3 linked regions of the Mytilus edulis genome follow. The main gene of each other region encodes a partner of the protein of the gene in region 3 in a complex. Links are inferred from orthologs where the notes say so. Each region holds a gene or a part of one and is shown on either strand. Other genes may lie near its edges.

Evidence for each region.
Region 1: DNA polymerase alpha subunit B-like (region 3) and DNA polymerase alpha catalytic subunit-like share a complex: the UniProt entries of both Drosophila melanogaster proteins name them as parts of the alpha DNA polymerase complex. The link is inferred for Mytilus edulis from reciprocal best matches to the Drosophila melanogaster genes PolA2 and PolA1.
Region 2: DNA polymerase alpha subunit B-like (region 3) and DNA primase large subunit-like share a complex: the UniProt entries of both Drosophila melanogaster proteins name them as parts of the alpha DNA polymerase complex. The link is inferred for Mytilus edulis from reciprocal best matches to the Drosophila melanogaster genes PolA2 and Prim2.

The regions. Positions count from the first base shown.
Region 1 is NC_092346.1:76,909,306-76,920,709, forward strand, and holds the start of DNA polymerase alpha catalytic subunit-like, read right to left. Parts: upstream 4,184-11,404; 5' UTR 4,138-4,183; coding exon 4,077-4,137; intron 1-4,076. UniProt on the Drosophila melanogaster protein: Catalytic subunit of the DNA polymerase alpha complex (also known as the alpha DNA polymerase-primase complex) which plays an essential role in the initiation of DNA synthesis.
Region 2 is NC_092344.1:119,329,421-119,340,430, reverse strand, and holds the start of DNA primase large subunit-like, read left to right. Parts: upstream 1-5,945; 5' UTR 5,946-6,009; coding exon 6,010-6,166; intron 6,167-8,966; coding exon 8,967-9,079; intron 9,080-9,440; coding exon 9,441-9,520; intron 9,521-9,761; coding exon 9,762-9,882; intron 9,883-10,379; coding exon 10,380-10,472; intron 10,473-10,771; coding exon 10,772-10,909; intron 10,910-11,010. Other genes in the region: probable lysosomal cobalamin transporter, read right to left, coding at 539-627, 1,681-1,748, 2,255-2,355, 2,850-2,913, 3,202-3,378, 5,781-5,840. UniProt on the Drosophila melanogaster protein: Regulatory subunit of the DNA primase complex and component of the DNA polymerase alpha complex (also known as the alpha DNA polymerase-primase complex) which play an essential role in the initiation of DNA synthesis.
Region 3 is NC_092346.1:69,958,986-69,969,731, forward strand, and holds the start of DNA polymerase alpha subunit B-like, read left to right. Parts: upstream 1-6,326; 5' UTR 6,327-6,388; coding exon 6,389-6,473; intron 6,474-10,209; coding exon 10,210-10,334; intron 10,335-10,746. Other genes in the region: uncharacterized protein, read right to left, coding at 5-58, 654-727, 1,024-1,321, 2,886-3,052, 3,652-3,856, 5,991-6,152. UniProt on the Drosophila melanogaster protein: Accessory subunit of the DNA polymerase alpha complex (also known as the alpha DNA polymerase-primase complex) which plays an essential role in the initiation of DNA synthesis.

The sequences.
Region 1 (11,404 bases), about 6.9 Mb from region 3:
CAATCATTAACCCGAATTCTGACAAGTGACGAAAAAGTGTAGTCGGATTGGTGAGACATTTTGTTGTGCGAAAATATCATATCTCAAAAGAAAAAAAAGATGGCACTAGCAGCTGAGATTATAAAAGGTACAGTTTTGTCAATTTTTTGTCTAATATATTATGTATAGCTTAGAAATAATGAAAAGCTTTGAAAATACAATATAGGTGCAGAAATTTTTGCTCGCCTTGGTAATTGATTGGTTAGAAGATACGATATTTTTGCATACATTGGAACATAAATATTTAATTCTAAATAATCGATAAAAAAAATCAGTTTTTATTGCCTGGTGTAAAATTATGAAAACCTTAGATACGAGGTTTTTGCATAACAGCGACGATATATTTACACAAAATTTTCGTTTTGTTTTATTCCCTTATCCATTTGAAAAAGAGCCATGTATGGTCAAGTAATCGTAAAATACGGGCTTATAATGAATCCCTTGATAACAGGGATGCTTCTTTCAAGCAATACAGGTTCGACAGTTCGGTTTTAAACGCAAAAAAAATAATGATATAATCGTAGATGGTTCAAAAAATGGTCGAGACAACGTTGTCAGAGAAGGGGGTTAAACTTCCCTTATATAATTTAGAAATGAACTTTTCAGTACCCGAGACATGTATTATATGTCTCTGTTAGCACTGTCCATTCCTTTCATACGTTTCGGCATCTTTATAAAGCGAAAAAATGTAGTAGTGTTCTGTTAACCTTACGACGTTTAACTTGGCTTCACCCAAGCTGGACATCGAGAAAGTGAATTTCTCAAGTCTAGTATCAGCTTGGGGTTTGTTTTTCTAATTATATCCTCTTAATTGTTTTCAAAGGGTAAAATTCATTACTGTAGAATTGCTGATTAAACAGGTATTAGTTCGATTGGGTGATAATTAATACTTCAAAGACTAGCTCATTGAAGCCAATTTGATCGTTGTTAAAATCAGTGTTTGTTCAAAGTTCGTTAAACAAGTTTGTGAATGTCGTTGGGAAATGCGGTCAATTTATTTCTTCTCATTTCATTCATATATGCCTCTATATATTCATTAAATAGATGTCAATGTTGAAATCTTTGTTTATTTTGATCTCTCAACGACGCCATTTTGTAAAATTTATTAGACAGGTCCCGCGGAGTTACTTTAATACAACGGAAGTAATTCTTTCAAAAATCGTTAACCAGTCAATCACGTGATCCGAAAAGAAAAATAAGCGGGAAATTTTAAAAAATACGAAAAAAAAATATAGCGACGCGGTTGAACAGGATAGCGACGCGGTCAGTGCAATAGGACAGCGGGAAATTGAAATAGCGCTGAAAATCGCGGCGCTAAAACGGCCTGGGGAGAACACTGAACACAAATTTGATTCAAGTTAAAAGAGGGGTGAAAGATACCAGAGGGACATTCAAATTCATAGAAAAAATAGACTGACAATGCCATGGCTAAAAAAGACAAACATTTTAACAAAACTGCGGAATTCCCTCTGTGACGTGTTTCTAAATATATAAAAACACAAAATATAAATACTGCTTAATTCTGATTTTCCGTGTTGAAAAAACGTGCATATGAAAAAAGGGCAATATCGAAACACTTAGATCATGTGAAGAAAATTATAGGAAAGTTGTTTAAATTCAATCCATTTGTTTGTTTTTACCTTTTAAAGCAAGAAAATCTTAAGAATCTGAGATGTTCCTTAATATTTAGAGTTAAACGGTTGACGGTTAAACGTATCCCAAAAATGAAATCAATTGTATTGATTGACATGGACAATGGATATATGCAACAACAATAGGCATTTACTGTGGACCTGAGTGGACTGTAGTCTTCATGATATACTTTAAAAGGCCATGGCTGAATAATTTTGAGTTTTACAAAAATATAACATAAGATTAAATTCTCTGAGTACAGACAAAATTGTGTAATTTGAAAAGTGTGAAGCCTGTCAACACCAAGTTATATACAAGTTGTTTTCATTTTGTATTAAAAAGACAACAAATAAATAACTTTGTGGAGGTTAGCTAAACATGTTCTATCCTTCCTTCAGGTGGTGTAAAAATAAACAAAGTATGGTGAAATCTTGGAGGTGAGTGGACTGCATCAATTATATAATCAACTAAAAGGCAGTGTCACAGGTATGAATAGCAAAATTGCCGTTCATAGGCTATGTGTACCGACATCTGGTATCATAAAAACAAGAATGTGTCCACAGTACACGGATGCCCCACTCGCACTATCATTTTCTATGTTTAGTGGACCGTGAAATTGGAATAAATTCTCTAATTTGGTATTAAAATTAGAATGATCTTATCAAAGGGAACATGTATACTAAGTTTCAAGTTGATTGGACTTCAACTTCATCAAAAACTACCTTGACCAAAAACTTTAACCTGAAGCGGGACAGACGGACGAACAAATGGACGAACAGACGGACGGACGGACGAACGGACGCACAGACCAGAAAACATAATGCCCCTCTACTATCGTAGGTAGGGCATAAAAATGCCATCTGATCAGGAATGAAACATGAAATATAAACGGAAATTATCAATAATATGGGGATTTCGTGTAAAAAGAGATAAGTATGAGAAATTATATTTTCAAAATGTAAGTATTTAATAATAATATATAATAAACATTGAAAATAAAATGCACACTGATGAAGAATGAAACTGTACAGTCCCTGTAAAAAGAAAAAAACTGATAAAAATTAATACTATTATAAAATGTAAATGCAAATTTAAAGAATTGAATTTTACTGAATTTATAAAAATACCCATATGAGATTTAAAAATAATCTTTTAGTAAAATGTAAAACAGAAGATGATCAAATAAACATTTTGCTTCCCTGGCAATCAGGTTTTGTCCATCTTTAGTCACTCCAAGTTTAAAGTGGAAAGGACATTCCATTTGAAATGTACTAAAAGTAGGCATATCCTTTATACTAAGAACGGTTTAAAATAGGAAAACTAGAAGTATTCGACATAAAAAAAACTTGACCCGAGACTACTATAACACATAGTAGTCTCAGACTTGACTAATGAATGAAACACGGCAAATTCGATTTAAAACTACACTTTAAAACAAATACCTTGAATGAGGCCTTTTTTCTATCAAATTTGTTTTGATTTTTTGCCTCCATGAATACACAAAAAATGTATTCTGTTAAACTTCATTAAAATTAATCGGCTGTTCTAATAGACGTATTTACACTTGAATGCAAATTTGTCCGCCATTACGTAGAATCACACAGGTTCCCGTAAACTTTGACATAACAATTAAAAAAATTTGACGTCACAATAAAAAAGTAATTGTTGCATGACGTCAAAAGGTTATTCCAAGGCGTTTCATTCCCGATCTGATGGCATTTCATTATAAAACCGGATGTGGGTATGCATAGCCTACGAACGGCAATTTTACTATTTGTACCCGCATGCAGGTACACGCAGACACTGCAGGGCTGCCAAGTCGCATGCATCTAGGGTGAGACTCACGCATGCTTATGCTTTTAAACATCCTATTTTGGCGGCATTTTTCCCTTGGATCTTTTGTTTTTTCTCTTTGATCTTTTCATTTTTGGCCAAATCTCACGCATTTGCTTCATGAAAAGTTGGCAGAACTGACACTACCCAATTAAAACTCAAGTGTTTGTTTATTTCACCATCTTCTATGACAAGAAAAGAAAAATGTTCATCAAAATCCATAAAGCTTAATAACTTTTCAAAACATAAATTAAACATTGATGCAAAATTTATTGATCTAGATGCTGCCAGGCTTTTTAACTTTTAAATTGCTCAGTTTTGTCTGTACATAGACATTCATAGAGATAATTGTATGGTGTTAATACAGTCATTTTTGTAAAAGTATGTTGATGAACCTTAATGTTATTTTGTTATGCTATAATTTTGTATTTGATCTCAGATAATCTCGCTCATTCAGTCATTGTCAAACAACTGTTGATGGCATCTTGAAATGGTTGGATTCAGTCTCACTCAGTCTCATTTCTCATGTTATCGTGTTTATCAAACAGATCCTTATTTGCATGTTAGTTTACCATAATCATCGTTATTATCATTGTCATTTTCATTTCCAGGCGGATCAACAGCTGGCGCCATTTTTGTACTTGGCGGGAAATGGAGTGCGTAATAGACAAAACCAATTTCGAATAAGACTGAGTATTTCCGTGTGTTCTTTGTCTAGATCGTTTTTCAAGTTAATAAACTATGAAGCTGAACAAATCTGCCGGTGGTGATATGATAAAGTGGCACTAACTACGAGATATATATAAAAAATCTAATAATTTTTTTTTCTCAATCATTTATGACATGCAAATAGTGAAATAATTATTCGCTTTTATTAGCCCGTATGGTTCAATTTTGTGTGTGATTGGGATGGGCACTGGCTGGGCGAGGCTGGGTTTAATAAGCTAAAAAAAAAACATCGATTAAGAATTATTCACTTGCAAGTGAATAATTCGACCCAATAAAATAATGAAGTCACTGATTCAATTGCCAATTGAATCAGTGACTTCATTATTATTTTACATCTCTGAAATGTATGTATCAACAGGGACATATTGTATGTCTGGTATCAGCAACTATATTGGAATTCAAAGTTTTCACTCAGAAGAATCAATATTTATATGATAATGGATCATAATGTATACATGGAATTGAAACTTGAAATGTTATGATATTAAGACAAATTGTAGAACGTATTTGCAGATTATATGTGCTTTCTATACAAATGTTCACTGACCAATTCAAAAAAAAAACGTATATAAAAGAGGGTGGTAAAAATTATTTTCGTGCAACGTGATCGCCTTTTTTTATTTCACGTTCAACGTGTTTTTACCTCAGTTTTTATTTCAAATTGACGTTCAGTCGTGCAAGACGGGTGCCTCTTTCAACGTGTTCTTCTTATTTAATTTTACGTGCATCGTGATTTTCAAAGTCTTATTTTGCGTGCTCGGTATTTTTCAAATAAAATTCAAACACTTGGCAGGGATCGTCAAGAAATACTTTTTTAAAAGCCGTAAACCAATAATATCATAAATGTGTATACTAAATCGGGAATATCAAGTAAAACAAAGAGTTAATATATACAAGAAGACAGTGACTCAGTCACAAAAGGTTCAAATAAAAGTATTTATTTTTCGTGCAACGTTCATTACAGAAATTATTTCACGTTCAACGTGAAATTATGTCTTATTTCAAGCCAGTTTTTTTCGCGCAAGGACCCCCTTTACCACCCTCATAAAAGAGATAAATGCATATTTATTTTCGATTTTAGTTATAATTTAACGAGCTAAATTTGCATATAAAATCTGTGGCATAGCCCCTTTACTGTATCTTGACCTTTATGTTTTTACCAACTATTGATTTAAAAAGTAATAAAAATGTTTTGCATTTCGAGATTTATTTTCGTGATATTTTTGAAAGATTTAGTGGTGATATTTGTTCTCTTGAATTTATCTAGTTCCTCTGTCCAAATTTAAAAAGTTAAAATGACTGTACTAAGACAAAAGAAAACTGAAGTGAAGACAAGCTCGTGAGTCACTCGAATTGAACCTATATATTTTCGTTATCCTTCGTTATCCTTCGTTTTAACTAGACACAAGTTACCGTTCTGTATTTATTATGTAGATGCATCCTTATATGCCATATGTTCCCAGAAATTTAATTTTTAAAATAAGAATATAAGAAAACTTGTAAAACTTCCGCTACTATTTTTCCTGGTGCAATTTTGGAACTGGGGTGTTTTAGTTTTCTGTTAAATCTGACAAATATTTGTTTTTCACATGTGCTTGAATGATAATTATTTATAAATCGAATGATCATATATCGACTGGTATTTCTTTTGTTCGTGTCCCAACAAACAAAATTTATTTGAATAAAACATTTTTAATCAGTGATTATTTAGATCAAACTCCTGTTTTGGCAACCATTGTGGCATTTGAATATAGGTTTCATTTGTTTATTTATATAATGGACGAATTAAGATTAAACTGGTCTGTAATTAGATTTTAAGTTTTTTCGTCTCTTTTTTTTTTTATTATAGTGGAATTAGATGATGGTCTAGACATTTCTAGACGGGATCCTTTATTTCTGTATTCTTTAATATCTAAATGTTTACCCTTTTTGAATTCATTTCTTTATTTTCAATATTCTCTATTTTTTTATATTTTAACACCCCATTAATTTCTATTCGTTATCAATTTTTCTTTTTTTTTCTTTCTTTTTTCGCAATTCGGCAATGCGTGCCCTTTATTTCTTAGTCGGTTGGCTATAAAGACCGGAGTTCTGAAGCAAAAGTGTCTCATAATTCAGTCATGGCTGGATACCGATATTTTAACTTCCATTAAAATTTTATTTGTATTTTTATACTAATGTTATGATGTATGATATTGTTCTGTATTGGTATGTGACACTATAATAAAATATTCTGTCTGCCTGTCTGTAAACCCCACTCAAACCCACAGTCCACTTACATGTACATCTCTCCAATTTTGCGGAACTTAAGTTCAGTGATGTTTGATATAGGTCTGTTAGAATGGAAGCAAGTTGGTCTGCTTTCAGTGATTTTCAGTATAAAAGATGTTATTAAGTTTTTATCCCGTATTTACATTTTGATAAAAATTTCCATATGGACTATTTTTTACCTGATCAAATCAAATATGTAATAGAAAATATACCTTCATGTGCTACTTTTTGAGTTAAATGAGGTCGAAATTTTGTATATTTGCTCAAAATTCGGATTTGTGGCCGTATTTTCCGTTTCGAACGAAAGACATAACTTTTTTGTTTTTAAAAGATAAACACAAATTGTGTTTTGTTAAGGTCAAGGATCAGTAAATGAACTAGTCCATAGATTTTTTTAAAATTTACAACTCAATTAGATATTGAAAATATACATCTGAAAATGTAAAAAAAAGTATAGGTCACCGACTTCGTTTTCGAGAAAAAGCCATTTTTTAAATGGTCCGAGAGTGTACCAAATTACATTGAATATATAGGGAAAATCAGTTTATTTTCTTCTACAATTTTCGGTTTCCGGTATAAATCAAGTGAACCACTCCATAGAAATATTTGTACATTTTTTATTCAGAAATAACTCATATTTATCAAATGTTCATGAATGTAAAAAAAACATCATCAGTTTTTGCTGTATATTTATCAAATTTTAAAAAAAATGCACCGTGGCTATTTACGTTTTCATGAAAATTGGTACACATAATCGTCTCGCGTAATTAAACCAAATGGCATTTTAAAAAAGAGGGTCCATGAACTCATTTTCAAGTTAAATAAGTTTGAATGATAAAAATCAGTCGAAATCTGAATCTTTTCCCGATAAGTCATGATAGTTTGACGTCGCGAAAATAAGGACTAGTGCTTTATGAGGTTTAACATTTTCCAACCTTTTGTGGACTCCGTTTATAATGATTATGCTAATTTTGATATCTTTCATGGTGGAAACAAGTGACTTCTCCCTTTAATTTGGAAGTTAAAAAAACAAATTTCTTTTGTAAAAACTGACTTTTAAAAATTTAAAAAGAGAGGCGAACGGTACAAAAGGGACATTAAAATTTGAACTCATAAGTCGAAAATAAACTAAAGTTTCACGCCATGGATAAAAAAAAAAAGACAAACAAACCGGCAACACGGTACACAAAACGCAACATAGAAAACTAAATACTGAGCAACACGAACTCCATCAAAACAGTCTGGATGTGATCTCATTTGCTCCGGACGGGTAAGCAGAGCCTGCGCCACATGTTGCACCCGCCAGGTGTTGCTCATGCAAATTAAAATATATAAAACTCTGTAATAAGTCTAATTCGGTATGTCAGATTCGGCAAAAAGGGAACGGGATAGTTAGTACCTCTCTACTAGGAAAATCTTGTTTATTTGCTTCCTTGTGAGTAATTCCCTCTAGCAATTAAATCGAGATAGGCCTTGAAATACGGCAATCGAACAAAAAGTCACAGGACAGAAAGTCACAAATTTAAAAAGGACAAAAAAATCACAAATACATGTAGTTTATATATAATTGTTTAGATATATCTAATCGGAAGTTTTTGAAATATTTTCTTTTCATCACGTCAAGGATTTGTATATACTTGATCACGTATATTTATTTAACAGTTAACTTTAAGAAAATTGGTGGTTAAACTTGACTCGTACACAAAGATTACAGAGGCATATTTAGCGAAAAATCCATGGGTACCAGTCCCCCTTTTTGGTTGGTTATTGAGGGAATCATTAAAAATGTTTGGGTCTGCTTTGAGACTTTTCAAATTTTAGTTAAACAAAGGATAAATATTTCTTGCGGCACCATGATACCAAGTCACTTTGACACAGTGTCAGTTTATTTTAACAATCATTCGATTATATAAATGGATTTTTTTAAATATATTTTGTTTCCAAAGTTGTTTTATATATAATAGTTCAAGGAAAGATAAAATAAAATTTTATTCAAAGAAAAATAACCTGCGACTTTCTGTCCGTATATTCAGGACTGTCTCCGTCTACGGTTTATATTTTTATAATCAGCAAAATTGATGACGTGGAACACAAATGCACAGACGAAAAAGTAAACAGATGATTTTCAAGACAAGTCGTATTTTATTATAGATATTGTTGCGTCATTGTAAAAAGACAACCCGTAAAGGTACTGAATATTCAAACTGTTTCAATTCATTTGAAAGATTAGCGTGTTTGTTCAAAATGCAGGTATTTAAAAACCTAATATTGAGCTCGGCTAAAGTTAAACTGTGAAAACGTACATTGATGATAGTCTAGTCATAGTCAAAGTCCATATGTTATATATTATAAATAGCTTTTTAAATACTGATTATAAATCATCAAAGTCATTATGTAACGAGTTTCTTGTAATTTCAACGTTATTTAATTTATTGAACCCATTCATGAATGAATAGTTCAGTGGCGGATCAAGACATTTTTAATACTGGGCCTGGGGGCCCATTGACTGCCTAAGAGGGGTCCCACTCCAGTCATGCTTTAGTGATTCCCTATATTATCAACCAAATTTTTTTAACAAAGAAGGGGGGGGCTACAAAATAATTGCAAAGGAACCTGTTTATTGTATCACAATCAATAACATTTTTATAACAATTTAAGGATTCTAATTTAATAAACAGCAATTTATTTTTATAGCAATTAACAGATTGATTGGTTACTTTTGTCTTTGAATTAAAAATATTCAAAACAAAAAGACATTAACCGCATAGGATCATACATTGTACAAAGAAGAGCAGGTAGATTTGTTTTTAAAGACTATAGACGTACTAGTAGTGTTACCTCCATGATGAAGGACCTTGGATGGAAACCTCTTGTGGAAAGAAGACTAGAACAATGACTGGTACTACTGTACAAAATAGTGAATGACCTGGTAGCCATCCCTACGGAACATCACATGGAATTTAATACTAGACCATCCAGAACTTCTAACGTCAAACAAATAAAACTTTTATCAGCAAATACTGACATTTATAAACATTAATTTTTTCCACAAACTATCATTGATTGGAACTTACTACCAAATACTGCCGTGAACTGTAAAACTGTGGAAAGTTTAAAGGCAGTTATATCGCACATCAGTGGTGCTCATCAGTGGCGCACACACACACTTCCTGTATAAGTTTTACTCAGTATTTTGAGTTCATTTCCAGTATTATACAGATACAGCCAGAATCAATCATTAAAGAGAAATTTAATGCTTGTTTTCAAAATTATGACAAGAAAATAATTTAAAAATTAACAAATTGCATTTTTATACAACCGCGAAAATTTTGCAGTCATATATTGGAATCACATCGTCGGTGTCAGCATCGTCCGAAGACGGATGGTTTCCGGATAATAACTTTAGAATAAGTTAATAGAATTCAATAAAATTTTAACACAATGTTTATTACCACATAAAGAAGCTTGGGATTGATTTTGGGGGTTATGATCCCTTTGGTTCAGGAATTAAGGGCCCAAAGGGACCCAAAACATACATTTATCTAGTTTCAGGACAATAAGATGTGTATAAGTATTTCAATTACTCTGAAATTGTACCACAATGTTCATACCATTAAGTAGAAGGTTAGGATTCATTTTAAGGGTTATGGGGCAAACAGTTTAGGAATTAAGGGTCAAAAAGGGGCCAAAACAAGCATTTTTGAAGTTTGGGGACAATAACTTATGTTTAACTGTATAGATCTCTCTGACATTGTACCACAAGGTTCCATATAATGAAGGGATGTCAGTTTGGGGTTAATATCCCTGAACATTTAGGAATAAGGGGCAAAAAATTGGCCAAATAGAAGCATTTTTCTAGTTTACAGACAATAACTTGTGTTTAAGTGTACGGATCTCTCTGAAATTATACTACAAGGTTTCTTACTACAAAGGAAAGGCTGGAATTGAATTTTTGGGTTCTTGCTTCAAGGGGGGTTTCAATTCGAGAGGGGCCAAAAAAGTGGCCCAAATAAGCATTTTTGTAGTTTACAGTCAATAACTTGTGTTTAAGTGTATAAATCTCTCTGAAATTATATCACGAGTTTCCATACTGCAAAGGGATGGTTATAGGGGGTAATGGATCAAATCATTAAGCAATTACAATGTAGGGGCAAAAAAGGGGGGGACAAGGGTTTTTCTGGTTAAAGGACAATTTAGACAACTTAAAAGCAGTGTAAGGGAGGTAATCCAATTAAAATTAAAATTTAAAGAATACTGTTATATAGGTTTGATTACTTGATTACCTCCCTTACACTGCTTGAAAATTATTGTTAAAGGAATTGATTATTTAATAGTTATCCCATAAGGACGCAGTGTGTCAGTGTAAGATCATCCCGATGGCCGGAGGCCAGAGGGTGATCTTACACTGACACACCAAGTCCGAACGGGATAACTATTTTACATCCCAGCTGTTTTAGATGAGACGAAAAACCATTTGCAATTCATAAAATCTAGTTTAGAACGCCACACAACCATTATAATATACTTTATATATTACTATATGATGCATACCCATTATGACCCCCTAACACGATGAGTAGATATCAAACAATGTCAACTCGCCCCACTGGCCAATCGGCCCACACTATATCGCCACTTTATGAAAAAAATCGCCCCACTCTTGTAACCGACTCGCCCAACTTTATAAAAGTGTAAAATAAAACTGAACAATCAGTCTGACAACTAATTTATTTAACGAAAAGGGTTTAAACCCCACTGAGTAAAGGTCTGCCAACTCGCCCCAGTTATAAAATATCTTGCTTCCTTTAAGTATGTTAAATTTCTGATAGTTTGTATCCAGTCGTCCTGGTGAAGTGGTATGTGTCGTGGCTTGATATGCTAAAGGTCTTGAGTTCGAATC
Region 2 (11,010 bases), on a different chromosome or scaffold from region 3:
AAGCTAATATTCAACATCATTAACTCACTTCAAACTTTTCACATATTACAGAATTACTGTGAAAAGATTGATTTCCCAGTGAAATAAAAATCGATAATTTCACATGTGAAATAAACGTGGTTATTTCACTTCTCCGACGTCATACAATAGTCATATATAACGTTGGATCAAAACAAATTGTGAATGCGTAGAAAAAGATATAGTTCCTTGCATTTTCTACTTTAATTTAAAAAAAAAAGCCATTTGCCAATGTAATAAAAAGAAAAACTAATCAAAATATTCAAATATCGAAAAATATTCAACTCATAACCAAACAACACTGATAATTAACTCATGCGCTGCAGGCATTCATGAATAAATGTGTTGTTGGGTCACTCGTTGAATATTTTTCTATATTTGAATTCTTCTATTAGTTATTCTATAAATATTGGATGTCTGCTTGCAAATATTTCTATAAGCAGTTGGGTTGGTAACTCGTTGACATACATCTGGTGGTACAAAAATTTACGTATTTTTTTTAAACTAATCAATATATTACCATTAGTGCCCATCTGCATAAACAGATTCTTCACATTATCCCATTCGGTGGAATTACCATTGGGCTGTGGCTTTGTTGGTACCAGACCTCTGAAATGTCATATATAGAATAGTTTTCAGTACTATGCACTGGACATTTAAAATGCACTTTCAAAATTGGTAAGCAGACAATAATTTTTGACACATGAATCGATTTGGATAGCAAGTTATGTTTACATATTGATTTTATTCAAAATCCTTGTGGAAACAGAAGTTTTTAGAATAAGACATTTCTAATAGAAGTAAGGAAAAAATATTATACCCTCAGGGTTTAGCTAGGATTTTGAGGGCTTTAGTCACTTTTGAGCGCTATAAAAATCAACCTTTTGCTGTGTAACAGCAAGGGACCAAGGATGTATATTACTAGCTTCATCTTTGACTTAGTCTGATTTTAAAGAACTAAGGCATGATTGGCAGTTATTGTATGATTTGACTGTATTGTCCCTTATTATGATAGATTCTGACATGGGATCCGGAAATTTACTTCTCAATTTCTCTTCAGTTTGTTCAGGGGACATTCCTGATTAACAAAAGTTGGATCCCTTTTTTTTATACAAGGAATCACAGCAGAAATTAACCTGCAACTATTATCTCACTGCATAATCATTATCCTTATAAAACGTCTAAATCGATATTTGGAAATCATTTCTATTAAGTTGGAACTGTATAAAATCCTTTTTGGAAGGATTATAATGACTGTAAGGAGGTTTTAAACAAATCAAGAATAGTTAATATTTAAGTACTACTTTCAATGTTTGTTGAATATTTAACACAATAAGATCAGGAAATATAATGCCCCTTATTTAAATAAATTGTAAACTACATTATGTCAGAGACAAAGACTACAAAACTGATTATCTAATATGCCTTGAAATCATAAAACTTTTGAGTCAGTTTTTTAACTCGTACTCCAAATTCAACCAATCAAAATGCTGGATTCATGTTTCGAGCAAGATTTTTGTGCTCCGAGCACTGAGCAAAGTTTTATGACTTTCTGTTATGGTATGTAACTCTGTTTACTACAGACAATCCACTTATCAAATGAGGAGTTATTGTACTAAACTGAAAAAGCTGATATCTTTAAATCAACCTCATAATTCTTACCCAATCAACATCAGGACACCAGCTATAATCAGAAACACCACTGTGTACTTGGATGCTGTGCAGAATTTCTGTAAAAGCAAACATAATTTCAAATTTAAAAAGTGAATGATCAATCAATGATTGCATGGGATAATAATTTTTTCAACTCATGCTTCCACTCAAATAAATCAAGTTGAAAATTTTGTCAACCCTGATATTTATGAGATGAGTACCGGTATTAGGTCTCTTATATATAACAAATATCATAAATAATAATTTACTAAGCAATTTATTTTTAGATTCACAAATAAGTCTTACGTTTATTAATGCATTTAAGATTGATTGATTGATTACTGTGTTGTTAATGTATCAAGATAAATCCCTGTTAACTACAAAATGTATCAAGATAAATCCCTGTTAACTACAAAATGTATCAAGATAAATCCCTGTTAACTACAAAATGTATCAAGATAAATCCCTGTTAACTACAAAATGTATCAAGATAAATCCCTGTTAACTACAAAATGTATGCATCAATTCAATATCAATATTTGTGTATTACACATGGTTATAACAGAAATAAGATAAAACTTACAGATCTACAGGAGGTGGGATTCGACTCATCTTTTTCTTCATAAAAGAAGTACATAAATGGTAACAGCAAGAACAGACAGAATGTAACCAGTGCATACAGTGCTAAAATAAAATTTGTTTTTCGTTCATTTTATTATATAAATAAGGCCATTAGTTTTCTTGTTTGAATTGTTTTACATTGCCATTTCGGGGCCTTTTATAGCTGACTATGCAGTATGGGCTTTGCTAATTGTTGAAGGCCGTACGGTGACCTATAGTTGTTAATTTCTGTGTCATTTTGGTCTCTTGTGGACAGTTGTCTCATTGGCAATCATACCACATCTTCTTTTTTATATGAATGTTCACTTATAGCATGAAACTTTAATAACACTGCAACTTGGAAAACTGAACAGAAAGTCATGACAAATTATCTTGGAAAATTCAACAAAAAGTCAGAGAAATTAGGCTGACTTTAAAGTTTTAGATTGCAAGGTCACAGTACAATCAATTTAGGGCATGAATTAATTAGATTGCACACATAATGATATTGAAAATAAAAAAACTGTAAGATAAGATAAGATAAGTAAAAAATATGTCTTTCAAGATTAACTACTTACTGTAGTATCCTATGGCTACTGTATTCTCTACTGAGTCTCTGGTATCTGATGAATTTGCCCATTCCTAAAATGTTTTATTCTTTATCAGTAGTGTCTAAACAGAATAATTCAAAGTTCTTCCAAATAACCGTAATGAGTCATAGACATCCGACATGCCATTTTTATTTGGGACACAAAAACGCTGAAGCATTACCTAAAGTGGTAGGTTTTTTTTAGATCTTTAAATAAATCTCCATACATCTTTTAAGAAACTTGTGCGAGAGTCAAAATATCTAGTGGCATTCTTGCATGTATTACATAAAACAAGAACAACTGCAAACAAACAGATTGTTTATCATGCTGTTAGTCTTACCTTGAAAGTGCCATCACTGTTCTTCATAAATGAGGCTAGAAACACATCTATTGGTACCAAACATACTGTTAACAGGGCAATGGTAAGGGAGATAATCCCAGATATAGTTGTTGATAATGATGGATCATACTTGCTCATAAAATACTTAATATATACTACTGAAAACAGCAAGGCAAGCTAAAACATAAAAAAAAACTTGGCACAATTTGATATGAAACTCAAAGAAATAAACTGTAATTTGTAAAGCAAGGTCATCTCATTTTTCTTAGAATTTTTAATTTTTAATTTGTGCTTCCAAGAGTATCTGAATAATTTCTTGTATCATATCTTTCAAAGGAAAATTCAACAATTACACACGCCCTTATGACATCATTTACAAGATAGAAGGTGCATCTGTATCCATGCACCATCAAAGTTTGAAGCATTATTTGAATGGTCATTCTGCAGAGTAGTCTAGAAATAATGTCCGTATGTACGACTGAAGGGAGGGTGACCAACTAGAATTAAAATTTGATTTCCCATGCATATATGTAGGTCATGTGGTTATGAAGGTTACATGACACATACAATTAACTGCTGTATCTCAGATCAGGTGTATCAATTTATTGATCAGCCTCAGGTGGTCACATAGATTGTCATAGTAGAAATAGATGAAAAAGGGGTCTTTTTCTCGAGGCCTTTTGGAACAGACATAGAGAGTTATCCAATTTTTTTACACCAATAAATAAACAAAAGAGTGAATACATTGTACAAGTGAGATAACAACGAATCCATGACAACTCGCCCCACTTTTAAAAAAATAGCCACACTCTTTTTTGACGACAACTCCCATTGAAAATAGGTCCTGACAACTCACCCCACTTACGAAAAGTTTGTAAGTTTAAACTTTATAATATTAATTATGATAAAAGCCAAAACTGTATATATAACTTATAAAGTTACATTCATAAAAATTTTCTACAAACCATCTACATTGAGTGCTGTACATAGTCTGAAACAAAGCCAAAAATAATTCTAAACAAAATTACACTTATACTCTTATATCATTAGAGGTGTTCCTTTCTATAGAAACTTATACAAAGAAGCAGAAGAAAAGGGTTAAAATCCTGCTGAACATGCTGAATAAAGGTCTGCCAACAAAAACCACAATGAACTTCATCATGCCAATAGACCATTTTTAGAGTTCATCTGTCACCGGAAAAAATCATCAACTAAGCGTGCCTTTATGACTTCATTAACCAGATAAAGGGGATCGCCTGTACTATTAACCTTCATCAAGCGTCTTAGTGATTGTCATTGTGCATGGTATAAACTAGAAATAATGTTTGTTTTGTAAGTACTTAATCACTATTCCCTATTGACAGCAGTGCTGATTGTTAATTATGAGAATTTAATTTGCCGAATAATTTGTGCAATATATAGTATAATAGTTTTCCAACCACCCGCTCAACATTGGAACAGAAGTGACCATCCCCCTAAATGCACGAATGATGTTCACTAAAACATGTTCACTAAAACCAGAGTTTTTGATGGAAATGCATTGAACTCGAAAGTTGTCTATTGCTGCTATTTACAAGTGGGGCGAGTCTTTTGCTTCCGATAAAAACACATACGAGATGACAAAATTACATTACTCATCATTAGTCAGGTTGGGAACAAACCCCCTGTATGGTGATTATACCTCTATAGAAGGATCTATAAAGGGGTATTTTTGTTTGCACTGGATTTAAAGCAAATTAGGGCAGAATGGCATTTTCTAGTTATATTGGCTATAATCTCTAGCATTATATATATGCATCAACATATGCACTTTACTTAAAATTGGGATAACCAGTTTTCTGCTAAAGTGACAAAACTTGCAATCTATTGTAAACCTATCTGAACACCTGATCAACAACAAAAGGAATAGTTGACCTTTGAATTTCATGTTATATCTAACAATAGAAATTCTGTTCAGTGAGGCATAAGTGAGTAGAATTTACCTGATCATCACAGCTTTCAATCATGGTGAACAATAGCTTTTATATTTAGTCAGATAAGCATCAAACTGGGCATGTATTTTTGTTTTTGTTTTGGCCCTTTTGTTTTTGTAAATATATATATAGGCCACGCTGCGCGCGCAAACAGTAAATAATCTTCAGATCATTGAAGGACTACTGAAAACCTAAAGAAGAAGAAGAAGATGTGCATATTAAATTAAGTACATCAATTGGTGCATCAACTATTCCAGGTTACTGCCATAATAAGTAGAGAATGCCATTCTGCCCTATTTTGATTTTAGTCTAAACAAAAATACCCCTCTATAGAGGGATAAATTTACCCCTCTATAGAAGGATTATCCCTCTATACAGGTATAATCACCATATAGAGGGTTTGATCCCATATGAAAAACAAATCAATGTGTTTATGTTTTTGACAATTTCTATAGTTAATAAATTTATTTATGTTTTGCTGTAGGGACATGATGAATACAGACTGAATCACAGTAGTCAGTACCAGTGAATACAGGGGCCATTCAACTGAATTAAAGTTTTACTGTGAAAATCTGATCAGGATAAAAGATGACATGACATACTTACAATAATTATCACTACAAATGGAACCCAAGTAGCAGCAAGTGCTCCACTCAAGCTGACCATTTTGTTTTTGTTTTCGTTAAACGTCAAAGTAAAGCTTTATCTAGAGTTATCATTGTTTGTAAGCGTACAGATGCAGTTGAACGTAAAAAAGTTTTTAATCGACAAAGTCCGAAAGTTCCGAAAACATTTGTTTTGAGCGGGAAAGGCAAACAACAAAAAAGTCAACAAAATGGATTTCGCAGGCAACAGCAAAAAATCTGGACGATCCGCAAGAAATAAGAAACAGTTCAACCGCGTTGGTCATAATTTACAGTTCTACAAAATACCACCAACGGGGGAAATATCCCTGCAAGAGTTTGAAGAATATGCAATTGACAGATTAAAAGGTGCCCTAAAATTAGCCAAATTTACAATTAAGATAATCAATGAAAATCTAAGCAATTCTCCCTAATGACTCACAAATAACGTTATTGAAAAAAAAAATCCTGAAAAAATGATATAGCAATAACTTCTGACTAATTTTTATCTGGATACACCGATTTCCTGAGAAGTTCATGATTCGAGAACTCCCCAACAATACACCTTATCGCTATTTGTCCGCCATTACTGAAAATCACACAGGTTCCCTTAAAATTTTGACGTCATAATATAAAATATCTGACGCCACAATGGAAAAGTGCTTGTTGTATGCGTCAAAAGTTCAAGCGGCCTGGTCAGCCGGGATTAGTGATAAGGTGTATAGTCAATACGACAATACATCTCATAGGCGGATCCTGGGGGCCTGGCCCCCCCTTTTGTGGGAAAAATTTGGTTGATTATATAGGGAATCATTGAAGCATGACTGGAGCCCCCCCCCCCCTTAGGAAAAGTTCTGGATCAGCCACAGCATGTTATCGCTATTTGTTTGCCATTACTGGACATCACACAGGTTCCCGTTAAATGTTGATGTCATTATACAAAATATCTGACACCACAATTGAAAAGTGATTGGTGTGTGACGTCAATCATTTGTCCATAGTTCAAGCGGAACAGATTCTTGGGTCACCTGGGAAAAGCAATAAGGCATATAGGCCCCTTCACGGTTAGTATAGCCATGTAGAGAAGGGGTCAGATCATTTGAAAGAGGTGGAAATTGTATAATAATACAGGAAACCCTATGCACATGATGCATGTTTCTAAGAAACTGCTCTGTTTTATTGATGTTTTCCCAAATTTTTCAGACCTTTTAAACCTGCATTATGAAAATCTGCCTATATTCAATATGGCCAAACTAACTGTAAAGGGGCCTATTGAATATTGACCTGAGAGCCGATATATTATCTGAAATCTTTATAGGTTTTAAAGTAGATACATGTACTTATGAGATATTAGTCATTATTTACTTTATAATGGTACCATTTCACCTCAGGAATTTAATTTCTGCGTCTTTACACAGAGTTCACGAAAACTTTTTTTTGACCTGTCGGTCATGGGACTGACAAAGCAAGATTATTTGTCAGTCCTATAAAATTTTAGCCAGTCCTTAAAAATCTGACAATTTTATCCTGAAATAAAAATAATATCCTCATTTTGACCGATAGGACCATTTTCGTGAACTCTCATGCTTTACACAGATATGGATAACAATATGGTAGACGTAGTAAATATTCAAAACGCATATCGTCTAAGATTGCAAAGTTGTGACACTTAGGGATTTCCACTTTATTGGTAATATCATGCTAAGGCCATGGAAAATTAATTGTTGGTTTCCCCTAACATGGAAAAATTTTAAAGACCCGGTAGGCAGGCTCTTTTTTTTTTTTTGTAACCATGCTTAATTTTATATCTATATGTTTTGTTTCTACAGCAGAACTTTAATCTTGTATATTTCAAACACTTTGTGTTATCTCTGGGTTTTTTTTCCAGAAAAATTAAATGACCCGGTCGGGTTAGGGGAAACCATGAATTATTTTTCCATGGCCTAAAGCATTTATCATGGGCAACTTCAAAAAAACTTAATCAGATATTTTTTATTGCAATTTTACTCATATCATCATGCATGAAAAAATGGAAGTTGTGAATGTTCTTGCATATTATTTCTTTTAACTGTTTGCACTATTACTGTTTTATTCCTCTCTAATCATTTCGTTGAGCTCGGGGAAATCATAGCAATGTTATTGACAGACTGACTATATTTCTGAAGCTATTCATCAATTAAGTGTATAAGATTGTTTGCAAATAATTAAAAATTATTACATTCACAGTGAATAATATTTTCTCCAAGGTTTTGTTGGGTCTTTTTTCTTTTGTTCAATCGTCCTGAACATGCATGAAATATTTGACACTGGATGGTAAACAACCAACAATCAAATCAATTGTTTGTTCAAGGTTGGATTTTTTTCTATTGGTTTGCATATATAAGTGTAACAAACGTCCAATCATTCATTGTCATTGAGGATATAACTTCATCTATTTACAGATTTGAAGTTTGATTGAATCACCTCCACTTAAATGCTATTCTTCAATAAACACACTTAATATCAACTGCCCATTGATCCATACAAAAATCTTTGAAGTTTAAATTGAAAAATGTGTAAATTAAAACCAAAAAGTTCTTCTCAAAATAATATATTTAAATAATTGAATTGAAAATATTCTTATTTTTGGGCAATTATAGTTCATGATAGTTACCTTTATTCATTTTAGTGTTATATAATTTTGAGCAGAAACCAAAGAAAAATTATGAGGCTTTAACATTTTGTATACCTACAAATGTATGTTTGAACATAGAAAGAAAGACCTTCAAATACAGCCATTTAGGATTAAGATTATTACTGCAAGTCTCCTATTGTACCAAGGTTGTCATCACTTGAACATCAAGGATAAAAAAAAAGGGTGAATCTGTATTGGGAACTACAAGAATTTTATTTTATTTTATAATACTTTTATATATATATTTTTTCGTTCACCGTCTGGTTCACACCTGATTTGAAATTGTGCACACTACCCTAAGCACCCTTTCAATAGTTTCATTTTTGATTTTGATCACTTAAATGTCCAAGGTTCTTCAGAAAGGGGCACACTTTTCTCTCAGATATTCATAAGCTGAAAGGGGAGATTTTTTAGTTTGAACTGAAATATCTGATATGCTTCAGTTTGTTGGGTATGTTTTGTCATAATGTTTAATAGAGTTAAATTTCATTTTAGTATTGAAAGCTGTTGAAGTAGCTGGGATTCGTCTCATGAAGGGTTCCACTGAATACATTCAGAAGCTACAAGATGAACTGAGAAAAACATCATTAGGACATGATCTTATACGGGTAAGCAGGGATACACTATTTTCATAAATGTAGTAGGTATGCTGAAACAATGAATTGTCCTCAGTTAATAGTTAAAGAACATGAAGCCAAGTCACTTGGTATTAATAATACTTTGTAAAATATTTATCAGAACTCTTTAAATACAAATCTCTTTTATCTTAAAACTGATATAATATATACTGATGCAACCAAACTTCTATTCAAGGGGAAACAACTCTTGTTGATATGATGATAATATAACACCTGCAGATTTTTGAGTCAACATGTTCAAGACAAAGTGTGCTGTATGTATACTTGATAAAGTTTTCTTTTGAATATAATGCCTCCAAATTGCTGTAAATTTATAACATTTTATTTGTAGACGGACAAGAAAGAGGACAAAGACTTCAGACAGAAAGATTTAGTCTCCCATTTTATTCTGAGGCTTGCTTACTGTAGATCGTAAGTTGTTATGACTGTCATTGTAAAGTAGATGGTAGTTGAAAGTTATATTTTAGAAAAAATGACATTATGATATCTTGTTATGGCTTGTTTGGTATAGGAAATGGAAAGTTCCGAAATTTGTGAAGCAATATCTAATATAACCAGTATTAAATGTACATGTTGATTTTAACAAGTGGTCAATTATTTTATATATGTGAGACTGTTTTACCTTTTTATCTGATGCCTTTTATTTTTTCAGAGAAGAATTAAGAAGATGGTTTATGCAGCAGGAATTAGATTTGTTTCGATTTCGTTTCTTGAGAGAAGGACCTGATAGCAGGGATGAATTCCTTAGAGAAAACTCTCTGAATTATGAACCCGTATGTATTTTACTTTTTCTTTGTTATCCTTCCAAAGTTTCAACATTAACATCCAGTTTCTTCCTCCAAAACCACTGCAGCTTGTGAGATTTTGACAAAATCACGGGTAGTGTGTTTGATTTATGTTCATATCAACCAAATATCATCGCACTGTTACCAAATAAACAAAAGTAGAAGAAAGAAAATTCAGCGGGAAAATCTAACAAACGGGTTCTGGCTTTAGCTGGTTCCTAAACAATTTTGTTTTCTAATTCGATAAAATTGACGCCACACCAAAAGTTTAAAAAACACAAAACAAACAAATGTTAGGTGCAAAAGTGTGGGATGGTTAAACATTCTTTGTGAGATGTCAACCCTACCCTATTCTTTTAGCAAATGTGGAATAAACAAACACATCATAAAATTTGAATTGTCTGTTATTTCATTGAAAAGTAAAGGTGTGTATTGTATCTTTGATCTTGTTTTAATCACATACTATGAATTCTTGAATATTATAGATTAGTGATGACTTAAAGACAGAATTGGATGGTGATCTTCGAGCAGCAGCAGGGAGTAAATCAGGAGTTGTGGATACAATCGAATATTTCAAGGTTTGTATAAAGTAGTTACGAACAGTGTGTAATATCTGTGGCCTAATTACTTTGCTTTAGTCTATTTGTCCAGAAGCTTTCATGCTGGTTAGAATGTGTTTCATTATGTGTACATTGTAGATAAATAGTTTCTGTAATGCCAGTTTGATTTGACAATTTTTGTGGAATTCTTCAATAGTTTTGCATGTCCCATCTTCCATTCTGGTTTTTATATTTCTTTAAATTTGCTATTAGAAATAAGATTAATGATATTTTTACAATTCCATTGTTGCCTGAAATGATATAACTTTATTTTACAGGTGCCATTCACAGAAGTGTTTGATTTGGTCAGTAAAAGAAAAGTATATTTAGAGGATGGATATGCCTATGTGTCCAGAGATGATATGATTTCCATTGTAATTACACATTACAGAAGTCATCTATCTCACTCATTGGCTGTAAGTAAAACTAGTTAGGCTAAGTTTAAGATGATTGCAAAGATCCAAAATGTTTTAACAGAAAATATTGTTTCAGTATTTCAAAGATTACATTTTATACT
Region 3 (10,746 bases):
TTACCTGAACAGTATGATTAAGAGGAGCTGTCACATCCTTGAACATGTCTTTTACATCCTAAAAATATGCAATATTGTGATAATATTCTGTGAATTCAAGCGTGATTTTACCGATATTATTTTTATAAGTCAGTTGACTTTTAGATGAAAATATATAATTTGATAAATAAATAGAACATAAAAACTGCCATCCACAATCTTTGAAAAATTGTTATGTAAAAATAAATCAACCAACAGAATTCTGTTGAATAAGGTCAATTTTATAGCCTTTCAAATATGTGAAAAAAAGCTCATAAATAGATTGAACTTAAATTTTATACTGTAAAGAAAACATTTCTGTTTATAAATGTCAATGCAATAGTGAAAACAAATCTTTCTGAAGTTCTAACTTAAGTGAAAAAAAATCAACAAAACTTGAAATAAGGTTTGGCGTAATTTTTTTTTTTTAACATTAATATAAAGATGAGATTTTAAAGGTACAGGAGAACTGAAAATAATCATAAAAACATAGGATATTATTTTAAGCAGATAACTTTGATACGGTTATGAGTCATGCATTTATTCACCAATATTTTGAATCAAATGTCATAATTATTTAAAATAGAACTGAACCTTCAGTCTGAATGCTTGTAAAAAAACCAAAGATAACTTACTAGTGGTTTTGGTGCAACATTTGTTTTATCGATAATACTTCCTAATTCTGAATATTTCTTTGTTTCACTAGTTCCTGTAGAGAAAAAAATAGAGAACATTTATTTATGTCTTCATTTTATCAAATTAATCAAATGTTAAGAAAAGTAAGCTTATACTTCTTAAACAAGTCAAAAAGCATAGATGTAAAGTGTCAGTTGGAAATTCTAACATTTTACTCTGTGAAAAAGGGGAATATTTTGCATTATACACTTGTGGTTAAACCATTTATTTATAAATACATGTACAATTTGAATAGGAAATTATGTTTTATGTTTTTTTTGCAAAATCCTGATTTTTTTTGTAATTACTTAATAAAATTATGCTAAATACCTCCATATGTAAGAGGAATGCAAGACTGAGCATTTGCCATTTTCTTATCCAGATCATAATCCACAATTCTCCATTCTCCAGTCAATGGTATTCCACTAAGAGGGTCAATTTTAGATGTACGAGTAAATGCATCAATATTTGGTGCTGAATATGTATGTTTTTCGTCATTTGCTTTGATAGTTATAGGTCTGTATAAAGAACTCAGCGATATTGGACATTCATATTGCTGTGCTAAATTATCATCTGTTATCTTGACATATCTGGGTAGTGGCTTCCTTATAATATCTAAACTGTAAGTCTGAGTGTATATAGTAAAATATAGTATGAAACTAAACAATATATACGTAGAAATATTGAATTGAATCTGAATTTTCAAATTGAGTATACTAGTACAAATATTTTATATTACAGACAACAGCCATTGACATCAGGCAAAAACCTAGTTGAAATAGAACAAAAGAATCGAAGCTCTTTGTTAGAGAAGGCGATAAATGCTTACTGTAATGTTTACTATAGTAACACAAATTTTAAAAGTTTATAGAAACAAATAAAATGACAATTTTCTTCTCAATTACGAAGTGTTTCATATTTATAACACCATTTGCATAAGTTTTCAATTTATCTTTTACATAGTTAAGCAGAACAATTAGATATCAAGTCGACGACATGAGTATCTATCAAGTTGGATGTAGAAAATGCATAACCTCCGAATTTTTTTTTTTTAAATTACCACAGACGGAGAACATATCAATCTATTAGTTCAGTAATTTTCGTGTCTGCCCTTTCGTTATGTGACTCAAGAAAAAATTCCAAAAAATGGGTAACAATTGTGTAGAAAAGAGAAAATCTAGTGCATCTTTTTATGTTAGGGTGTGTTTGAGTTGAATATTTTGTCTTGAAAACATACAAAGCAAGAATATTTTATATATCATCTCGCTTCAGTTTTCTATCATTTTTATATATCAAAGCTACAGGTTGACTTTATAACATAAAAAAATCACAGTATTGAAAGATAAAATATATGGGACAAGTGAAATACCTATCTAATGAATCACAAAAACAGAGTAAGTGTGTTCGAATAGCTAATTTTTGTTACTAAAAGTACTTGACGACAGTCTTTTAAGTTGGATGATGAAAATGCATATCTTCGAGAAAAAAAAAAGATTTTTTTGTGTGTGATAACTAGAGTTTATATTTTCCAACAAGTGAAATTTTTTAGTCTGCCCTTCCAAGAAATATTTAATTAGAATTTTTTTGAAATGTTTATGAATTTTAGAAAATTCCACCTGACAATCGATCAGACAATAGATTTGAGTTGAATCAATGCAGACAAAATCATTAACTGATGCTTATTAGCTAGTAGATACATTTGTCTTTAAAATACAACTGACATATAAGGATCTTAATGGTGCTATGTGGATAAATTTATCGGTTTTCAAGGGCAAAATTGGCAGCACGTCATCCCTACAATGGCTTCCATTTCTACGATAGTGAAAATGAACTGGCTTAATGGGGAGATAATTTGACGAAGTAGAATCCTGACTGACATAAATCATGTACTGTCAGTCTTTCTAAACATTTGTAAATGCAAGGTAAAACAAGCACAAAAACATCATGCTTGATATTAATCCTATCATTTTTTGTTTTCTAAAAATGGCCTAAGCACAAAGAATAATGTAGCAAATGATAACATTAACAATTTCAAGTACAAAATGTACATGAATTTAAACATAACAAAATGATCCAGTAATTTTAACATTAGGTTTAAAGTGTTTTTTTCTTCTTTAAACATATCTCTTGAAAGTTTTTACTTGTTAACAATGAAATAATTGTCAATGGTTTTTGGTAGAATTTTAGTATACCTGTTTGTTAGATCCATCAGCTGATGTAACTTCTATCTGGAGATTTGTCTCCCCTACATTAAGAGGTGTAGATGTCCCTGGTTTTTCTTTACATACAAGAACTGCATTTTTGGGATCAGGTGCAATTGGTGTTACTGTCACCTTGTCTGAATTGCAGGGTAATAAACCTAAAGTATTCAACAAATAAAGAAGTAACTAATTATTTTTTTTAAAATGCAGCTTCTATTGTGACTCCAGTAAGCGTCAAACAACTTTCAGAAAAATAACAGATGACTCATATGGTTTATCTCCAGTTTTAAGTGAAGAAACTGAAGCATTATCAAGGCTATTTCTCAACTAATTCAATATATACATTAGGTGAAATTACAATACTAAAATTTATGGTATACACGTACATGTAGGCAAATAAAGTTTATCTTGAGATTGACTTGTTGGCTGCCAAAAAGAATCCATGTGCCATTTACTTACATGATAAAAATATAACTAAGAGTCTTTCCTTTTAATTTTTTCATGAATTCCCTTACATACTTGTTTATTTAATTTTTTTATATATATTTTTTTTTTAAAAACAACGATTATGAACATGATGAAGGTACAATCAAAATAAGATGTCAAATTGACCATAAATCTAATCTTAAAAAATATACTGGATATTATCTAATCTTGAAAAAATATACTGGATAGTTATCAATTTTTTGGTGTAGCAATTACATAATTTTCAAATTTTCTGGGATATAATAAAGGCAGATTTGAATACTTTACTTACAAGAATATTCAAATACATTGTCAGAAAATTCTGGTGATAAGTCTCCATCTGATAACTTTAGATCACTCAATGTAGCATCTTTTGCAGATAATCTTTTGGCATGTATAAAATAATTCTTTATGGTACAATCTTCAGAAGTGACTTCTATCTTAATATCAGTGATTTGACCTTCTTTAAGAGGAACATCCTTGCCACCATCACTTCCCTGTCAACAAATCAATAACAAAAATAACAGTTAACGCTGTACAATTTAGATATCAAAATATTATTTTAATTGCAAGACAGAACCAGATGATCCACAGGGTGCAGCTTTATACGACCGCAGAGGTAGAACCATGAACAGTTGGGGCAAGTATGGACACAACATTCAAGCTTGATACAGCTCTGAATTTGGATTGTGATTAAATAGTTGACACAGCAAATTTAAAGGTTTCTGACACAGAATGAATGTGGTCTGATGAACTTGAAAAAAAATCTTTTGCTTTTGAGCAATACACTATATATATAGATGCTGTTGAATATAAATCCCCTAAAAAAAAAATTGCGGTCGTATAAAAAACCAAAATGACAGAATAAAAGTAAAATTTTGGTTCTGTCGTTAAGGAGTTTAGTTGTGATGTTATGACGTCATATTCAATGTAAACAAAGAAATGCTATCATCAGGTAACATTTTTTCATATCAAAGAATTACTAAAAATGAAATTGATATGTACAGTGTTCCTTCTTATATTTTACTAGACTAATAAAGATATATTTTACTCAAAAAAGAAGTAGATTTCTGCACAGATGTGGGATAATAATAAAGTTAATGATTTTGAGTTCATTAGGGCCAAGTTCACTTGAAACAATTCAAACTGTCAAGTTTACTCGGGTTTCAACAATACGATTTTACTTGAACCACTCGAGTTAACCCCTCGTACTCTGGTTCCAACTCTCACCAAGCCAAGGTTAAACTCGAGAAACTCTTGAATGACGTCAAACCAATGAGAATATTTATTTTCTATGCTTTGTCAGGGCCTCTACCCTAGAGTTACTTAGAGTTGTTCTGAATATCAACTCGAGTGCATTCATGTGATAATCTATTAACTCTGAAGTCTATTGTAAAGTTTTAAGTAAACTTGGCCAAGTAGAATGAAAAATTAGGGAATTTTCCCAATTTTTATTATTTTAGTGGATTTTTCTACCGTAATAGTAGTCCAAATAGAATCATATTCAAAACAGTGTAGCTGTGGCCATTGATTAACGACCTTAAATTCTCCCATTGACTGGGGCAGATTATGTGAACGTTTGACTGTAACAACCGCTGCTCACTATGTACTTGTTAAAGACACTTAAACTGTGGGGCCACAAAAGGTTCTCAACACCTAAATAAAGTAATTAGAAAAACTAATCAGGAATAACACGATGTTTTGATTTATATCATTAATAAGAATTAAAACATAAAGTTATTCCTGGTTAATTTTTCGAATTATTATAATATTAAAGGCGTTAAGAACCTTTGGTGACCCCACAGTTTAAATTCTATAATAAGTAAGTGGTGAGCAGTTGTCGTTACAGACACACGTTCACCTAATCTGTCCCAGTCAATGGAATAATTTAAGGTCGTCAATCAATGGCCACAGCTACACTGTTTTGAATATGATTCTAATAATGACGTCTTGGAAGGCTATTTTAAATTTTTGCTTTGACACCTTCATGCGTCGATGTAAGGGGGTCAAAGAAAAAAATATAATAGCCTTTCAAGATGTCATAATTATTTGGACAACCGTAATAGGGGACTTTGTCCCATTATAAAGAATTTAATAAACTTAAAAGCAAAATTTTGGGGTAAGGTTAAATCTTTTCCCTATTTAGTTCAGGCAGCATGTCAACTATGTTGCTGTCATGTAAAATTGGCACCATCATGTTAAAATCTTAGTACCATTGCAAACTCTATCCTACAATTAGTCAACTCATACTACTAAAAGTCAACTAACACCAATGTTAACTAGAAATGCTGAGAGCTTGTACTATCGCGAGCTTGTAACATTAAAAATACAATGACAATTTACAAAGTATACAAATGTTTTAAAAATAATGTTTGCAATTTTATTTGTTATAATCTGTAAGTTGGAGTTTTCCCGGACTGGGTGAGAGTTTGAAATGGCAAGAGTTTGCAGACAGTGATACAAATTTGATTTAAGTGGTGTGAATTGACATTGGTACAAGTTTGCAATGTTATTTAATAATTATAATTCGTCATTTCAGACATCACTGGCATGCAGTTGCATCTGGCATGTCTGGTTATATCATACATACAGAGCCTGCAGAGGGCCAAACTTTTTTTTATAATTTCTTACAGAAATGCAATATGATGCACCCGTATCACTGGTGAGAGGGTCAACGTGAATTTTTTCCACATTGCTCGCTAGGGTCACATTATATTCTGTTGTGTCTTTATGAAACGCAGGTGACAATTTTCCGGGCTTTATGACTAGTTTATCCAAGTTGCAGTCGTCCATCTTGAAACCTAGGACGCTAATTTAGAGATTAACTTTATGAACATAATGAATTTTGATATACAAAGCCTAAAGAGTATGAAAAAATATGTTAATTTTCAATCTTCTTGGTATTATGTACTTTAAATTAAAATTTTGATTCAAATAATTTTGTTTGAGGCTAAACTCCTAGTCACAGGAAGTGAAAAAAAAATCGCGGGAAAGACAATTTTGTCAACAAAACATTTCAACACTTAAAAATGCCTTTCATTTCAGAAGAAGAATTAGAAGATGAATTTAGTGTATTCGGTGTAGAATTCAGTAGTCCTCAAATTGTTGAAAAATGTAAATGTTTTAAATGATAGAAACTACGTATTGCCAGTTTTAAGCCACTTCCACTAACATTTGGCTATCAAAAAAATTTAGACACTTCGGTACCCAAAAATTAGGCATCGAAAAAAGTTAAGAGACACGAGAAAAACAGTTCGGAATTAAGTCAAATAGGCACACCATTAAGATTTTTAAATTTAACTATGTAAATAAATTGGAATGTGTAAAGCCCTGTTTACATGTTCGCCCTGTCCTTGGTCTGTTCGTCCTGAGTTCTTTCGCCCGTATAGTACGTGTTCATTCTCTTTACTTTTATCAAGGACGTTTTATAATACGTCTTTGCATTTATTCTCAGATCCGGACATCCTGGCATTTACATTTGTCAGGAGGTGATGAAATCCGGAATCCTCTAGATTTTTCATCTATTTGAAGGGGATAACTGATCATTTAAATTGCCGATTATTTTTTAACCAGAGGTTATAGTATGTTAAAAATCAAAATGGAGATAGTATATAGTGTCTTTAACAGTATTAAAAGAGTAAAATTACTATATTCAACTGGTTATGATATATATCAATTAAATTAATTTGCAATAAGTCTATGGAAAATCTAGAGGAATCTTATCCGCATCACCTATCAACATTGTTTACATAACAAAAATGCTAATCATTGATTGGTCAGTTACATGTTGTGATGTCACTGCAGATCTGAGAATTAAAAATTATTGATATTAAGGGGAGGCCTATCATTAAAAAACTCTAAAACACGATTTAGTGAAAATCATCTGTTCCTTATTTAGTTTCCAAGGTAAAGCAATCGTGTTCAGCCACTCAAATTCTGTATTTCGCATGATCAATTAATAAGCCAATCAAAAACGTTGTCTCTGAAGATTATTCTAACATGCTAGATTTTGAACTTGTGTTGTTATCATCTAGTTATTAAATCGTGAATATGGCATGTGAATTTTCATCTGCAAGCAGGTTCTTACACAGCTTCAGAATAAAAGCATGGCTGAGTGACAAAATTCAATGATGCAGTACTACATAAAGATAATACACAGTATTTTTATGCCCCACCTACGATAGTAGAGGGGCATTATGTTTTCTGGTCTGTGCCTCTGTGCGTCCGTCCGTTTGCTTCAGGTTAAAGTTTTTGGTCAAGGTAGTTTTTGAAGAAGTTGAAGTTCAATCAACTTGAAACTTAGTACACATCTTCCCCATGATATGATCTTTCTAATTTTAATGCCAAATTATAGTTTTGACCCCAATTTCATGGTCCACTGAACATAGAAAATGATAGTGCGAAGTTCAGGTTAAAGTTTTTGGTCAAGGTAGTTTTTGAAGAAGTTGAAATCCAATCAACTTGAAACTTAGTACACATCTTCCCCATGATATGATCTTTCTAATCTTAATGCCAAATTATAGTTTTGACCCCAATTTCATGGTCCACTGAACATAGAAAATGATAGTGCGAAGTTCAGGTTAAAGTTTTTGGTCAAGGTAGTTTTTGATGAAGTTAAAGTTACATCAACTTGAAACTTAGTACACATGTTCCCTATGATATGATCTTTCTAATTATAATTCCAAATTGTTATTTTGACCCCAATTTCACGGTCCACTGAACATAGAAAATGATAATGCGAGTGGGGCATCCGTGTACTATGGACACATTCTTGTTTTTCACTAATTTATCATGTTTATTGACATAATACTTGTTGTAACATATTTTTATTTTTGTATTCAATTAAATCATTTAAAGGACAACATACTATTCTTTTTTCACAAAGACCAACAGACAGGTTGGGACTTCCCCCCCCCTCCCCCCATATTATGAGTGGTGTCCCTTAAATGAGGGACCTAAAACAAGGGGTCATTTCACTGTTGAAAAAAAAGAAAGAAAATTTTTAACTCAAAAGTGGGAAAATTCATTATATTTGGAACAATTTTCTAAATGAGGGGTCAAACTAATAAAGAAGATATAAGTTTAGAAACATCACAAAATTCTTTTGACATGAATACTTGATAGATGCATAGTTCTTCATCAAATAATATGAATATAAAGGTGCTAATTTTTTACAGTGGGTTGTATTGTTCTTCCAATGAGGGTTACCCCTCATTTGGAGTGTTGTTCCCAATCTGTCAAAGGTCCATCTTTGTGCATAATTCAAAATTGGAAATTTCAACAAGCATCTAATATTCATGCACAAGAAAATAAACCCTGGTCTGCTAAATACATGTTCATCTTTTCTACCGATTTAATAACTAGAATCCTGCAAACAGGGCATGGGCATTATGTTTTCTGGTCTGTCCATCTGTCCTGCTTCAGGTTAAAATTTATGGTCGAGGTAGTTTTTGATGAAGTCCAAATCCAATCAACTTGAAACTTAGTACACATGTGTTTCTTATCATATGATCTATCTAATTTTACTGCCAAATTAAAGACTTACATGTACCTAATTTTCACAGTCCACTGAACATAGAAAATGATTGTACGGATGTGAAATCCATGTACTTATGACACATTCTTGTTTGAAGAAAAAAAATTATGTCATAACGATAATGGAACAAAGCAGGCTGGATTAGTGGGGCTGCTTTTATGGTAATTCAAGTTTCCTTTTATTCACCTTCTTCCACCTCAGAGCTATCAGTTCTTTGATTCTTCTTTTACATGTGCCATTCTGATTTATTATAATTCAAACTTTCGGTTTAAACATACACTAAGTTTCTTACTTTTTTGTGTGTGATTTAGACTTATTTTCACAACTGTGATGTGTACTTAAATCATTTACAAGTTATTTACAAGCAGTTACAGCTTGTTTGATGATGGAAAACAGGTTTTATGGAAAACAGGTTTTTCCAACAAAATACATCAAACAACCACACATGTTTTGAAAGTACTGGAATTACAAACATTTTTTTACCTGACATAAAGTCCCTTAATTCTGATAATGAATAAATTTCCACAGATATCAGAATAGACAACTTTCGAGTTCCATGCATTTCCGTCAAAAACTCTGGTTTTAGTGAACATCATTCATGCATTTAGGGGCATCCTCACTTCAATTTCTATGTTGAGCGAGTGGTTGGAAAATAACATGTACAAAAAATGTATAATACTATATTGCATGTTTTATTCGGCAAACTTAATTCTCATTTCATGATTTGACAATCAGTTCTGCTGTCATTAGGGAATTGTGATTAAGTACTTACAAAACAAACATTATTTCTAGTTTATCCTGCAGAATGATGATCACTATGACGCTTGATGAATGTTGGTAGTGCAGGGATACAGGCCACCCCTCTATCTGGTAAATTAGGTCACAAAGGCGTGTCTAATTGACAAGTTTTTTTCCGGTGACAGATGAACTCAAAAGTGGTCTATTGTCACAAGTTGAAATGAGCTTTCAAAAGGTTTATCAAGATTTCATTGTATGCATAAAAAAAGCATGCCACTAGCAATAAACAAAATATAAATCAAAATTAAATTAAGTATTTTTAACTTTCCCAGTTTTCCCCCTGATATTGCTATTTATAGGGATGCTTTTAAATTAAAAAAAACATGTTCAAGTTTATATATTCACGAAGATTTATATTTGCGATAGTTTTTGACTTGCGAAAGTACTGAAAATAAATCACTTGCAATAATTAGTAAGTTTACAGTATTCAAAAGTACAATGTACTTTGTTAATTATTTAACATACAACTGTTCGTTATTTATATATGTTTTGAATTGAATTGATGTCTTATTTCAGTACAAGAATTGTGTGTACAGTACAATTTGGGTGCAGAAAAGATAGTTACAGAATGGGTAGCATTTGCCAGCACACACAAAGGTGTACAAATGACATTAGATTCTCTAGACCAATTAGACAGAGAAGTGAGTCATTTTATACATAGAAATTGTAAATTGTAAAAAGAACATCACAAATGTTGACTTTGCTTAAAAATAAGATAGTTCATGCATTGTATATATATATGATAAGGATATCCAATAATCTGTTCTAGATTTACTAGTCCACTACCAATAAAGTCGAAGTGGACTTAAGGTTTGCATTTTGTCTGTCTGTCCATCAGTCAGTCCGGCAAATCATTTTTTCAGACTTTTTTTCTTCATGCTTGAAGATATTGATATGATATTTGGTGTATTGAGTTATCATGACAAGTTACAGGTCAAGTTCGATTTTCAGGATTTTAGCTTTTCTCCTTGTTCAGTTAGTCTTTTCCCTAGAATAAATTTTTTGATGAAATATTTATTAATTACTAGATTTCTGTTTAAAGGGAAATAACTC